Linked DNA regions of Oryzias latipes. The protein of the gene in region 2 interacts with the protein of the main gene of each other region in a pairwise test. Links are inferred from orthologs where the notes say so. Each region holds a gene or a part of one and is shown on either strand. Other genes may lie near its edges.

What was found. The genes of interacting proteins can lie anywhere in the genome.
Region 1: the proteins of endothelial PAS domain-containing protein 1 (region 2) and ikbkg interact in a two-hybrid assay, tested with the Homo sapiens proteins (2 studies listed by BioGRID, with this or other methods). The link is inferred for Oryzias latipes from reciprocal best matches to the Homo sapiens genes EPAS1 and IKBKG.

What each region holds. Positions count from the first base shown.
Region 1 is NC_019865.2:4,851,536-4,855,470, forward strand, and holds the start of ikbkg (NF-kappa-B essential modulator), read right to left. Parts: upstream 2,801-3,935; 5' UTR 2,451-2,800; intron 1,958-2,450; 5' UTR 1,956-1,957; coding exon 1,817-1,955; intron 244-1,816; coding exon 1-243. UniProt on the Homo sapiens protein: Regulatory subunit of the IKK core complex which phosphorylates inhibitors of NF-kappa-B thus leading to the dissociation of the inhibitor/NF-kappa-B complex and ultimately the degradation of the inhibitor.
Region 2 is NC_019873.2:14,302,040-14,309,433, reverse strand, and holds part of endothelial PAS domain-containing protein 1, read right to left. Parts: intron 5,816-7,394; coding exon 5,668-5,815; intron 5,556-5,667; coding exon 5,347-5,555; intron 5,233-5,346; coding exon 5,015-5,232; intron 4,711-5,014; coding exon 4,600-4,710; intron 3,587-4,599; coding exon 3,084-3,586; intron 2,380-3,083; coding exon 2,286-2,379; intron 1,691-2,285; coding exon 1,603-1,690; intron 1,531-1,602; coding exon 1,354-1,530; intron 1,198-1,353; coding exon 1,046-1,197; 3' UTR 1-1,045.

The sequences.
Region 1 (3,935 bases), on a different chromosome or scaffold from region 2:
CCGGGCGTCCCTGCAGGTCTTCAGTCTGACTTGAGCTGCAGGACAGACCGGAAGACGGGGAGGAGCCTGGTCCGTTCGCCGTGACCTTCAGCGAGTGGTTTTCCTGCGCCAGCCTCTCCACGAGGGCCCTGGCCTCCTGGAAGCGACAGCTCAAAAACTCTCGCTCGTCTCTGGTTCTTTGCTGCCATCCCTCCATCTCTTCACAGCGCAGGCGGAGAGCTTGGTTGCTTCTCCGCAGTGCCTCTGGAGGAGCAAACATAAAGTACGACTTTCGTCTTTCGGTCTCACACAGAAGTTTATCCAAACTTTGCTGCCCTGACTCTGTTCTTATGCTGTGATACTATTCACAGATAGAAGAGACAGCATTTACCACATCTGAATGTGTATTTACATCTGCTAGACATGAAACCAACTTCCTGTGTGCGTTCAGGGCAGCTTGAAGTATCCGTCACTCCATTTTAACCAAAAATATCCTTTAAAGACCCACTCCGATCATCTTTTGATCTATTTTTAAACACGTTCTCAGTGGTCTTTTTGATATAATGCGGCCACTTTTAGCCATAATCTAAAAAGACTGCCATTTTCAAGGACATAATTCCTGCAGAGTGGCAGCGATTCATCAAAAATTGACCTCTGAGTTGTGGGCGGGACTGTTGACGTGGAGTAAGCCTGCCCCAACTTCCCGTCACTCACCTGTTTACCCGTTTTCCTGCTAGCTTACAGCCCCTCACACCCCCAACCTAACACTACCGGAGTGACAAAAATGCTGAGAAATATTGGAGCTATCCATCCGTCCAGTTTAGATCCAGATTCCAGCTCAGACGAGGAAAACAAAGACGCACATGGATCTATTTGTCTGCAAGTGGATGCATCAGAATGGAGCGGAGCAGGAAGTTTGTGGCCCGCCAATCATATTTTCTACATCACAAATAAGCTCTTTGTCAAACAGCATTTCACCACACACTCCTGATTCACAACAATTTGAATAAAGAAATACCCTGCAAGCTAAATTTTCTAAGACATCTGAGAAGATGATAAAAAAAAAAAAAAAAAAAAAAATTTTTAATTTTCATCAGAGTGGGTCTATAAATCAATCAAACTTTAATTATAAAGCACTTTTCATATAAAAGTATAACACAAAGTGATTTACATTAAAACAAAACAAAATAAATAACATAAAACAACAATTAACATAAAAAGAAAAATAATAATAAAAAAGAAGTATGAAGACAATATGTTGGAAACGCTAATAATTGGAACCTCCCTTTCTGTGAACAGCCGCATAACCAGCCAAATGCAGCATCACAGGCGGGGACCGCTCCACCACAGCTAAGCAGTGATGCAGGTTCCCATCCAGAGCCGCAGTGGCTGAAGAGCAGCCGATCCAGAGGGAGAGGTCCAAACTATGAAGGAGCTAAATAATTAATTATTTCTGTTTTTCTGATTTTTTTCCGTTTACAAAACAGGCAAATATGGTAAATAACTAAAATAGTGTAAAAGATGGTTAAACCACATATAGATTTGTTTTGAATTAAGCTTCTCTTATTTTCTGCTTTTACGTGTATAAAATATGTCAGTTAAAAAGCTGAGTTAACTAAAGCAGAAACTAAAATATATATACCACAATGTTTTAAGAAGTCAGCCTCTGATTATAAGCGAGCTCCACCCCGCCGGACCTAAAATGTATTTAACTTTAAAAAAAAAAAAAAATATGTTCCTGTCATGGATGAGAAATTGAAAAGAAAAGAAAGCGTAAACAGGGTCAGATGAAGAATCCTCGTTAAAAGTTGTGTGAGCGAAGCCGTGGGTGCGATACCTCTGAGCTGCTGGTTGTCACACAGTAATCTGGACACCACCTCATGACCAGCAAGCTCCGGTGGGACCCTGAGGGCCCCGCCACTGTCCTCCCCTGACATGTCCCACTGCATGGGGCCGTCGGGCTGCGGCTGGACCATTCCTGCAGGATTACAGTGGATTATCATCACACACCTGTCAAAGTCAACATCCAGTCCGTAAGCGTGGAAACAGGTTTGAGCCCTGACATGTGCACCAGGACCAGACTTTCACTTTCATTTTGATTCTTTTACTCATTTTTGTTGAAAATATGAAGCAGATCTGCTCCTTAAAGGCTTCAGCCTCTCTGCTAAAAAAAAAAAAAAAAAAACATGTGGACGTCATCCATGAACATGACTGCAGGTAAGGAAAACATTACGTCATCGTCATCACACCTTAGGCCGGGATAAAAGACACATTGGGTTTAAAATAGCTTTAAAAATGAAAGTAAAGAGAACGCAGTTGGATTTTAACAGAAAAAATAAATAAAATCAACGACCTAATTCCAAACTAGACTGATGTTTTTTTGGTTTTTGGACATCCGTGACTGTCTCTGAACAGTTTGGACGCATACATACTAGTTTATTTTAACAAAACAAGGACAGGATCTCTCTTACCTTAACTTCTTTTTCCCTTTGTTGTCCAGAATAACACACATCCAGAGTTTTTACAGTCCCCCCCTCAAACCTGCGCCAGGAAGGAAGCTCGACGAGTCCAGAAGCACTATTTTGGCTAATTTTTAGCTAGCTAGGCTAATGCGGCAGTGAAGGGCTGGGAAAGCGGCCTCGCTCCTCGGCTGTCATAAACACAGCTTCACGCTGGCAGACTATCGAACCTTAAAGGCACATTCTGTGTGGATGTAGGAGGCCTTTTCTTCCTTTGCTTCACGTTCGCTACGGGGTTTTCGTCCGAGCCGAGGCGACTGTTGTTAGCTCGGAAAATTCCTCGAATATTTTAACCCTGAGTTTTGCCTTTCAGGTGTCGGTTCTCCGGTTTGTAGATCTGAAAGGGGAACGGTTTGAGTATCTTATTTTAAGCACGAACAAGTGTGTAAAGTTTTCCTGCTGAATTAGGTTTTATAAATATAAGATTTTCTACTTTATTTTAATTGATAAAGCTTGCAAATATATTACAGTGAAATATAAAAAAATAATAAAACAGTGAAAGTTGAGTGGGATCACAAAACATTGCAAACTCAGCAAAGTCAAAGTCAGGTTTAGGGGGGGGGGGTGATGATACCAAAAAAAAAGAAAAAGCAGAAAAATCAAAGAAGAAGCAAATTGCAGAAACTGCAACACTTGTTCAAGTATCAGGGATGACTGGTTGACACACACAAAGAAACAGACACTTGATGAAAGAAACTGCTTGAATAAATCAATGCAATAAACATCCTAAAACTTCAATAATGAAGGGAACCAGACAACAGAACAGATAAAATGAAGAGGGTCTGCCACGAATCGACAACGGGATTAAAAACTTGAACCTGGAGCGCTTTGGACCCATGACTGAGACAATAATTTGATAGTATGCACTTTGAAAAAGCCCCAATTAGTAAAAATAGCCAATTTTTAAAATCAATACTAATGTTTTTCTGTTCTCACATGAGCTGCCGCCTCTGACCTGCACCAAAAGCCAGCCGTGTGCTAATGACACATGGGGAGTAACACAAACACAACAATGTGGGGATCCAGCTCATGTTCCCACAGGATTCAGTTCTTTAGGAAAACTGGATTTAAATGGATTCATCTAGATAGGGAGTGGGCAGTCGGGAGGGTTGAGGGCACTCTATGTTTTATAATTTCAGTTTTAATTGTTTGAAGTCAGAAAAGCACTTTGTGTTACTCTAGTAGGAAAAGTGCTGTATACAGAATGTTAAATTTGATGTTGAAAACAAAATAATCAGAATTTGCATCTGTTTATACAATATTGTATTATTTAACATGTTAGCTTGCAGCAGCACACCGTACATTAGCAGTTTGAACTGAAGAGACAGCCATAAAGAAGTGTTTACATCTTGGAGGAATTTTAAAAAAAAATTGGGCACCAAAATTAGGCCGCGTCAAAAGTTGCCTGTCAGGTAAAGCGCAGGGAATCTAAATTCC
Region 2 (7,394 bases):
TCAATTATTATGGCTTCCATTTCTAGCATCTAATGATCCAAATTAAAAACTACATTAGTCACAGAAAGAAAAAAAAAGAAGTGAAATTTTAACTAGCGTCAAAGTAGTTCAAGTAATTATTTCTATTGGCCCACTCGTCACATTTAGCAACTCTTTAAAGTGCTCCAGTCTTCCATATTGCACCATTTTTGTCCTCTTTGGGAATCGGATAATTTTTTTTTTATCTCGAGGGTTTTTCTACAGATGGCTTCCTTTCAGAGGCAATTCATGATACCCAGCTCTGGCTTGAGACTCTGCCTGAAACTAGGAAACAAGGCTGCGTTCACTAGATGCTGGTAAAATATATATGACATTAAAGAACACAGTTTTTCTGTTAGTATGGAGACAGTGTCGTTTTTTGTTTGTTTTCTGAACTGAATGCTTCGGCCGGTTGACAAAAGGAACTGCATAGACTGTACAGCCTCAACAGGAATCAACTGGAGGTTGAGGTGCAGCGGGTGCAGAGATTTAGGCAGATTGCCTATCTCCCCACCACAAGCACCGTGTTAATCTCAGCATCTATTCCAGAACAAATATTCACTAAATCCCAAACATCTGAGTGTCAGGACTCTTCAACGTGTGACCCAGGTGACTGTAGTGTTATGTAATCTGTCACATATCCAGCACTGACCTTTATTTTCTCACCTAGTGACCCATGTATTCTGCATATGGTGTGCACGGCTTGTCGCATGTGACAGCTCCTCTACTCTGGTCAACCTGCATCTGGATAAACATGTTCTGAGATAAAATAGTATAAGTAGCTTGAACCCTGATTGTAATGCAGGTTGAGAACGTTTATCAAAGCAACTACAGAAGGGACGGGAAACGGGGGCTACGTAAGGCAGGATCTGGTCATGAATACCACGGTCTACAGATAGCTAGGCATACAGGGCTCTCGAGAGGCCCAAAGGTACGAAGGTAAAGAACGACTTTTGTCACGGGCTGCGTGTCGAGACTCAAGGCTGAGAGCAAGTCCGGGTCTATATCAGGGTTGGGAGCAGGGGCTTTAGGTGGCCTGGTCCAGGGCGCGCAGGAGGTCACAGCCCTGGAGGAGGTGCAGGTTCCCCTGCAGCGGGACGTTGACCTCGCAGTCGTAACGAGTCAACTCCGGCAGGAAGGAGGGCTCGAATGAAGGTCCCAGCAAACGGCTTGCTATGCCTGAAAAGAAACAACAGAAACTGTCAATGTATAAAACACAAGTGCTTAAAATTCTTTAAAAAAATTCTTATTTTTGAAAACTGACCCTTGAAAAAGCTGTGAGATTAATAGAAGTTTGTTTCTAATTTCTTGGTCGAATGAGGAATTTGAGCTTACCCTCTGACTTGCTTGAAGACTGCATGTTGTACTCCGAGTAACTGCAGCTCTTTTGGGCAAACGTCTTTCTGTTTGCTCCGTTTCTCCCGCTCCCTGTGTACTGAGACTTCCTGTGTTTTTCCAGGGAGCATATAAACGGAGACATGCTGCCTGGCATTACCGTCCCCATCGCAGACTCTGTAAAAGGACAATATGATGTAACAGGAAGCAAAGTGAGACGGCAGTCAAATGAACAAAAGTCCACAATACCTGTCAGTGATCCTGCACTGAGGGAACGATCCATGCGGCTGTCATCCCTCATCTTCTTCCATATAACTTCTGCTGGCTTCATTTCACCCTGAAACAGTTCTTTGTTGAGTAAATACCCTTGTCCTTTATTTTCTTCACTATGGAATGCACTTAAAAGATGTAATTTTTCTTCAAAAAACAACAGTGCGTATATATGAATGAATTCCGGTTGTGTTTACTGATGTTGAAGCAATTTTGAGAGCTACACAGTGCACTGTCAAAGTGTTTGGTGTTAATAAAGTCTAAATGATTGACAGATTATCTTTGACTCTTTTGTCTGACTTACTGCCCCTTATAGTTTGGTTTGCCTCAAAATAGACCGTTCAATGGCAGTGCGCCTTTTTATCCGGTCAGAAAATACTGTAATTGCAAACAACTTTTTCAAATAAAAAAATTAAATGTAGTTTAAATAAATATAACATTTGTAAAAATTCACTTGTTTAAAAGGAAGTCATTTTAACTAATAAAGATGAGTTTTGGTAAAAAAACTCAACAGATGGTAGGACCAACAAAATCAGTCTTCTGGTGCTTTTTTTTCTTTCTCAAAGGCATTAAAAAAACTACAAAAATGACAGCAAGGTGTGTCATCAGAGCACAAATGTCAGAAAACATCACTTTTTTTAATCATTATAGGAAAAACTCACCACAGTCATCTGGTTAAAGGACCGCTTGATACTGCTGCCCACGCCTGCTTTAGAACTCATGTCTTTGTATGCTTGCACAAAATTTTCCGTTGACCTGAGTAAAAAAAAAGAGAAAGAAAATAGTAGAAAAACTATAAAAATGGGAATATACACAATAGCGCACATATAATTGTTCTTTCTATTTGTATTCTTTGTGAGAAGCCTTGCAAAGGGCCCGATAACGCCTAAACATTCCTTAGCGTGGATAAAACTTTCAACATTTCTGAGAACTGCAATGCCATGAAAAGCCTTCATTGTTTTTTTTTCTGTTTTCTTCCAAGGAGAAAGGCTCCCACCTAATCTTTAAAAACAGAATCATCAAATTACTTGCTAAATTGTGTTTTCCAAAGGTTTATGAAAGTTATTTTAGACCTCTACTGGATTTTCCCAGCTCATTTTCTCCGTCTTGCACCTGCTTAACCTGAATCTATGGATCACTCAAGTAAAGGGAAAAAAAAGCCAATACATCAAACCATAAGGATGTGTTTGCACACATTCATTTGGTCTGGTTTCTTTTCAACGCTTTGTGTAGTTTTTGTCTGAATTTGAACGGACATGTTTTACAAAACGGTGAGATGAATCACTTTATTTAACTCAAACTCTTTTTTGCAAACATGTTTGGAGTAGTCTCATCCTAGCTCCTTGTTGAAAGAGCTCTGAGGACTGAAATTCTAACTTCTAAGAAGATAAATGTAGCATATAATGAAAGATAAAACTAAAAGTTTCTTCTTTGATTTTATATTGTCATAGTTACATTACCTCGGTTTCTGCATGAGATACGATGTATTTTGCTGGCAGGACGGCCGTTCTTCTGGTAAATCCTCCATCAGACAGGCCTTAGGAGTCCTTGTCGATTGCTGGTAAGTTATTATTGGATCAGGAGGCCACTGCATGGAAGACAGTGGGCCGCTGGCTGGGGCCTGGTACGGTGGAGTCCCCATACGGCCCATCATGTATGACCTCTCCCTGGCTTCCACAGTACCCTGACCAGAGCTTCTCCTCTCCCTGATGGCCCAGGATGGTTGTGGCTCAGGCCGATAGCAGCCTTGCAGTGGAGGGGGAGAGGTCAGCGGCTGGAAGAGGCTTGCAATGTCACTGAAGCTCTGCTGGACGTTCTGTTTGCTGTTGTTGCCCATGGATCCTGCTCCTCCGGAGTTGTCCAGAGGTTCAGGCTCAGGAATGATTGGATTCAGCTGGAAGTCCTCTCCGTCCATCGGGATATAAGGAGCCAAGGTCTCCAGATCCAAATCACACAAATCTCTCTGAAAAATAAAGAGATACATTTATCTTTTATGCTCTTCACTGTTTGGTCGCACTGATGAGTGAATCTCCCCAAAAAGTTATCAGTAAAAAGAAAGATGTAGATAGAAACCTGGAAAAAAAATAATTTAAAAATGTCATTTTAAATGTAATTTATGGAGTTAGACTAATTTTTTTTTGTTGTTTTTAGTTTAAACTCAAATTTAGTTATAATAATAAAGGGGATTTAGGTTTGATTTGAACATGAACACTGAACGTGATGACCTTCATAGTCAGCTGCCTGGAACTCTTAAAACCACATAAAACGATGACTACAAGAGATAAGTCGATATCAAAAGTCGCCATTTCCTCTGTTCAAAATGTAATTAAGAAATATCAGATGACAAAAAGAGTTATGGTCAAAATGATCCCTTCACAAAATGAAAGAAAAAACTCAGGAGAACAGTTTAAGGAATTAAAACACGCCCATGCCAAGATGCCAAGGAGCTTCCAGGAGATTTCTCCGTAGGGGTGCTAAACACAAAAGTTGGCAAATATCTGAATGAACCTGATGCACTTTGCAGGAAAGGGTTGCAGGGTGATGGGAGTTCAAATAAAACCCTTTAGCCTTAAAGCACTGGTTGTGTTTGGATGAAAGAATGAAAACGGTTGGGAGTTTAGTCTGTTGTTGTTGGGGTTTGGGATGCAGCTTGTGGCGCAAAATGATTCCTTAACTTGACACTAATTGGAAAAGCTTAATCAAAAAAGCTGCAGACGCAAGAAGAATGATCTGCAAAATGATGATTCTAAGCAAAGTGTGCAGGAATCTTTTGATAATTCCCATACTTTGCATGGATTTAGTCTTGATAAAATAGATTCTGAATTATTCTAAAACAAGCTATGTTTCTTTTTTTGTATTTATTATTATTATTTTTTTGTGTGCAAAAGTTGTATTCTCTAAATGATTTGATTATTGGAAGGTTTTATTATGAAGAGCTAATGAGACAGACAGCTCTAATTCCAGAGCCTCACACACCTCTGTGTTTGCAGAATTGTTTCCCTCGGTGTCCAGAGCAAAAAGCTTCTCGGTCAGCTCCAACTTCAGGTCGCTGTCCACTGAGCTGTAGTAATCACCGGGGCTGCTGGGCTGCAGGCGAACATTGACAAATGAATTGAACAGATTGAGGCAGAAGTCGAGCAGGAGGAGATGAGAAGGGAAAGAGAGAATAAATGAAAAGAGCAAAAGATGAGTTTTGACAAAGGCGCCATTCACCACTAACAGGCTGTTTCATCCAAAGCATCCACCCCCGATATTCTCACACACTTTGCCCACTTTTGCTGACCTCACTGAACGCGGGGAGAATAATTCTGGACGAAACGCAATCAACCAGTGGCTGACTCACTTGACTAATTAATCCTTTCAACTACACAATCAGGGTCGCAGTCCTCACCGTGGAGCAGCTGCTCAGGCTCGGAGTGGCACTGCCCGGGGGCTTATTCTGCTGCACGGTGAATGCGCCGGCCATGGTAGCCAACTCCCCTGGAACTGCATTGGACCCAGGTTTGTGGCTCTCACTTGCCCAGGACAAAGGTCCCAGCGGGGGCATGGCTGAAGCAGATGCCGGTGTGAATGATGATGGATGTTGAGGCTCCTCAAACTCAGATCGACCTACAAGGAGTCAGAAGAAAGGAAAACTTTTGAATAGAACTTCAAAAAATATATTTAGGAATGTAACACAGGACAGTGTTGCCCCTATAAGTTTTCAAAAAGTACAAGGCTTACCAAAATCAAGAGAAATGATGGTGTCTCCAGGTGTTGGAGCCAGCTGTGCAAGGTCCTCTGGCTCCTCCTTTAGGGTGCTGAACAGGGAGTCTCCTGGCTCCCCATTCATGCCTGCTCCTCCAGCGCTGAAGAAGCTGTTCATGTGTTGCGGCTTGAACAGAGACTCTGTCTGCTCCAAAGAGAATATCACAGCCCTGTCCTCAATGTCACTGCAGGGAGACAAGAAAGGCAAATTAGAACATAGTTTGTGATATTTACCATGTAGAAGAGTTTGGTTAAAACCTTTGGAAGACCTGAGCTCACTGCAGTGACAGGTCTCACCTGAGGACGTAGTTGATGCAGACGATGCATTGTGGCTGAGAGTTTCGGCTGTTATAAATGACGGTTCCCTGGGTTTCCACCCACACATAGCCGCCTTTCTTAGCCAGCATGCGATACTGACCGCTGACTGCCTGACCCTTGCTACACACTGTGGACACAATGAAAACAGACAATGTGTTAAATTAAGAGACACCAAGCGCTTCCTGCTGATACTCAAGTTTGCAGTTAGATAGTGTTGGCTAAGTTTACAATTAGTCCCATCTCATAACCTTTAAAAGAGATGGAAGGAGTGGCTACAAGGGTTTGGATTTATTTAGCTAAAAAATCAAAAGCCTAGTTATTGGAATTTTAAAAAGAAAGTAAATAAAGTATTATTTTTTGTTGGCAAATGAAATCCATTAAAGACTGTTTTTGCCAAGAGTCCTAACAAACAAATGAAGAAAACTAATGCTTAAAACCTGTGACATGTAGGTGTAATGCATTTCAAACGAAATCTGTAACAGTTTTAGGGGAATAAATCATGAAGAAATATGGAAGATCTGCTAACGATGATGTACTTTTACTCTGTCTTCTTCTGTTCTGTGACCTTAACCAGTCATGGTTTATGTTCTTTCTGCCTGGTTTTGCTGGAACTTTCTTCCAGGTTGTAAATGGATTGAGTCATTTCACTCAATTGCTCAGTCTAATTGCTCAGTCTCAGCAATATGGGCTGTTAATGCACAAAATGCAGTATTTCAACTTCAAAGTGGTACCTACAGAATACTATTATATGTGTATATAATATATACACTTTGAAATCTTGTGTTTTCTTGTGGCAAATGTGCTTTTCTGAAAGAGGGGTTCCAAATGTAAAATCATGCTGAATTTGGTGTTTCTACCACAAAATGTATAAATATTTTAATAACCACTTCCACTAATATCATCTACACTCAAAGTTTAAACTTATTGCTATTTCGGACAGTGTTATGTTCCTACTAATAAAATGTAACATTTTTCAAATGAGATCAAATAAAAATTGTTTTCCATCAGGGATTTCCAATCAGTCAAACATTTGTTAGTAGGAAAAAGCTGGATGTTTGACTTTGCAAGGAGGACATGCGCTGGCTCCAGTCCAGAGTTCAGAACTGGCGTGGGAAAAGAGCAGGACTGGTCAGAGATCGTACATTAGGCCAATGACATTGAGAATGTGTGTGCGCCCGTGTGTGTGACTGCGTAGTAGTTTTGGAGAAAAGGCTGTGGCAGCTTTCCACTCAGCAGCTACATCCTTTAGCATGTTCTGATTGGCAGGCTGGTCACGTTGGCCGTGAGAGCAGGTCGTGGGTGTGTGTGGGATGGAGATAGAGCGTCCTTTATCTAAAGTCTTTGGACGCAGATGATTTGGAGCCAAAAAGATAAAAAAATAAAATATAAATATGAAGCTTTTCAGTTTCAGACCAAATCAAGGCAGCCTTGAAACATGACAACGGTTGAAAAAAAAGTTCTGTTTAGGAGCCCAGGATCTTTAGAATGTACGTCTGAATAGTGCAATCATTCTAAATACAGCTTGTATAGGTGGGTCTTGGTTGCTAAAGCAGATCCTAAAATTGAATAAACAGATGAAACTATGTTGACTCCAGAGTCGCTCCTTTTTTCTGCTGCACAAACACACAAACACTTTATTTGTGCATGGGGGGCTTTAAGGAGTTCCTAACAGTGCAGCTCAAAGCCTCTAATGATCCTGTACTGTC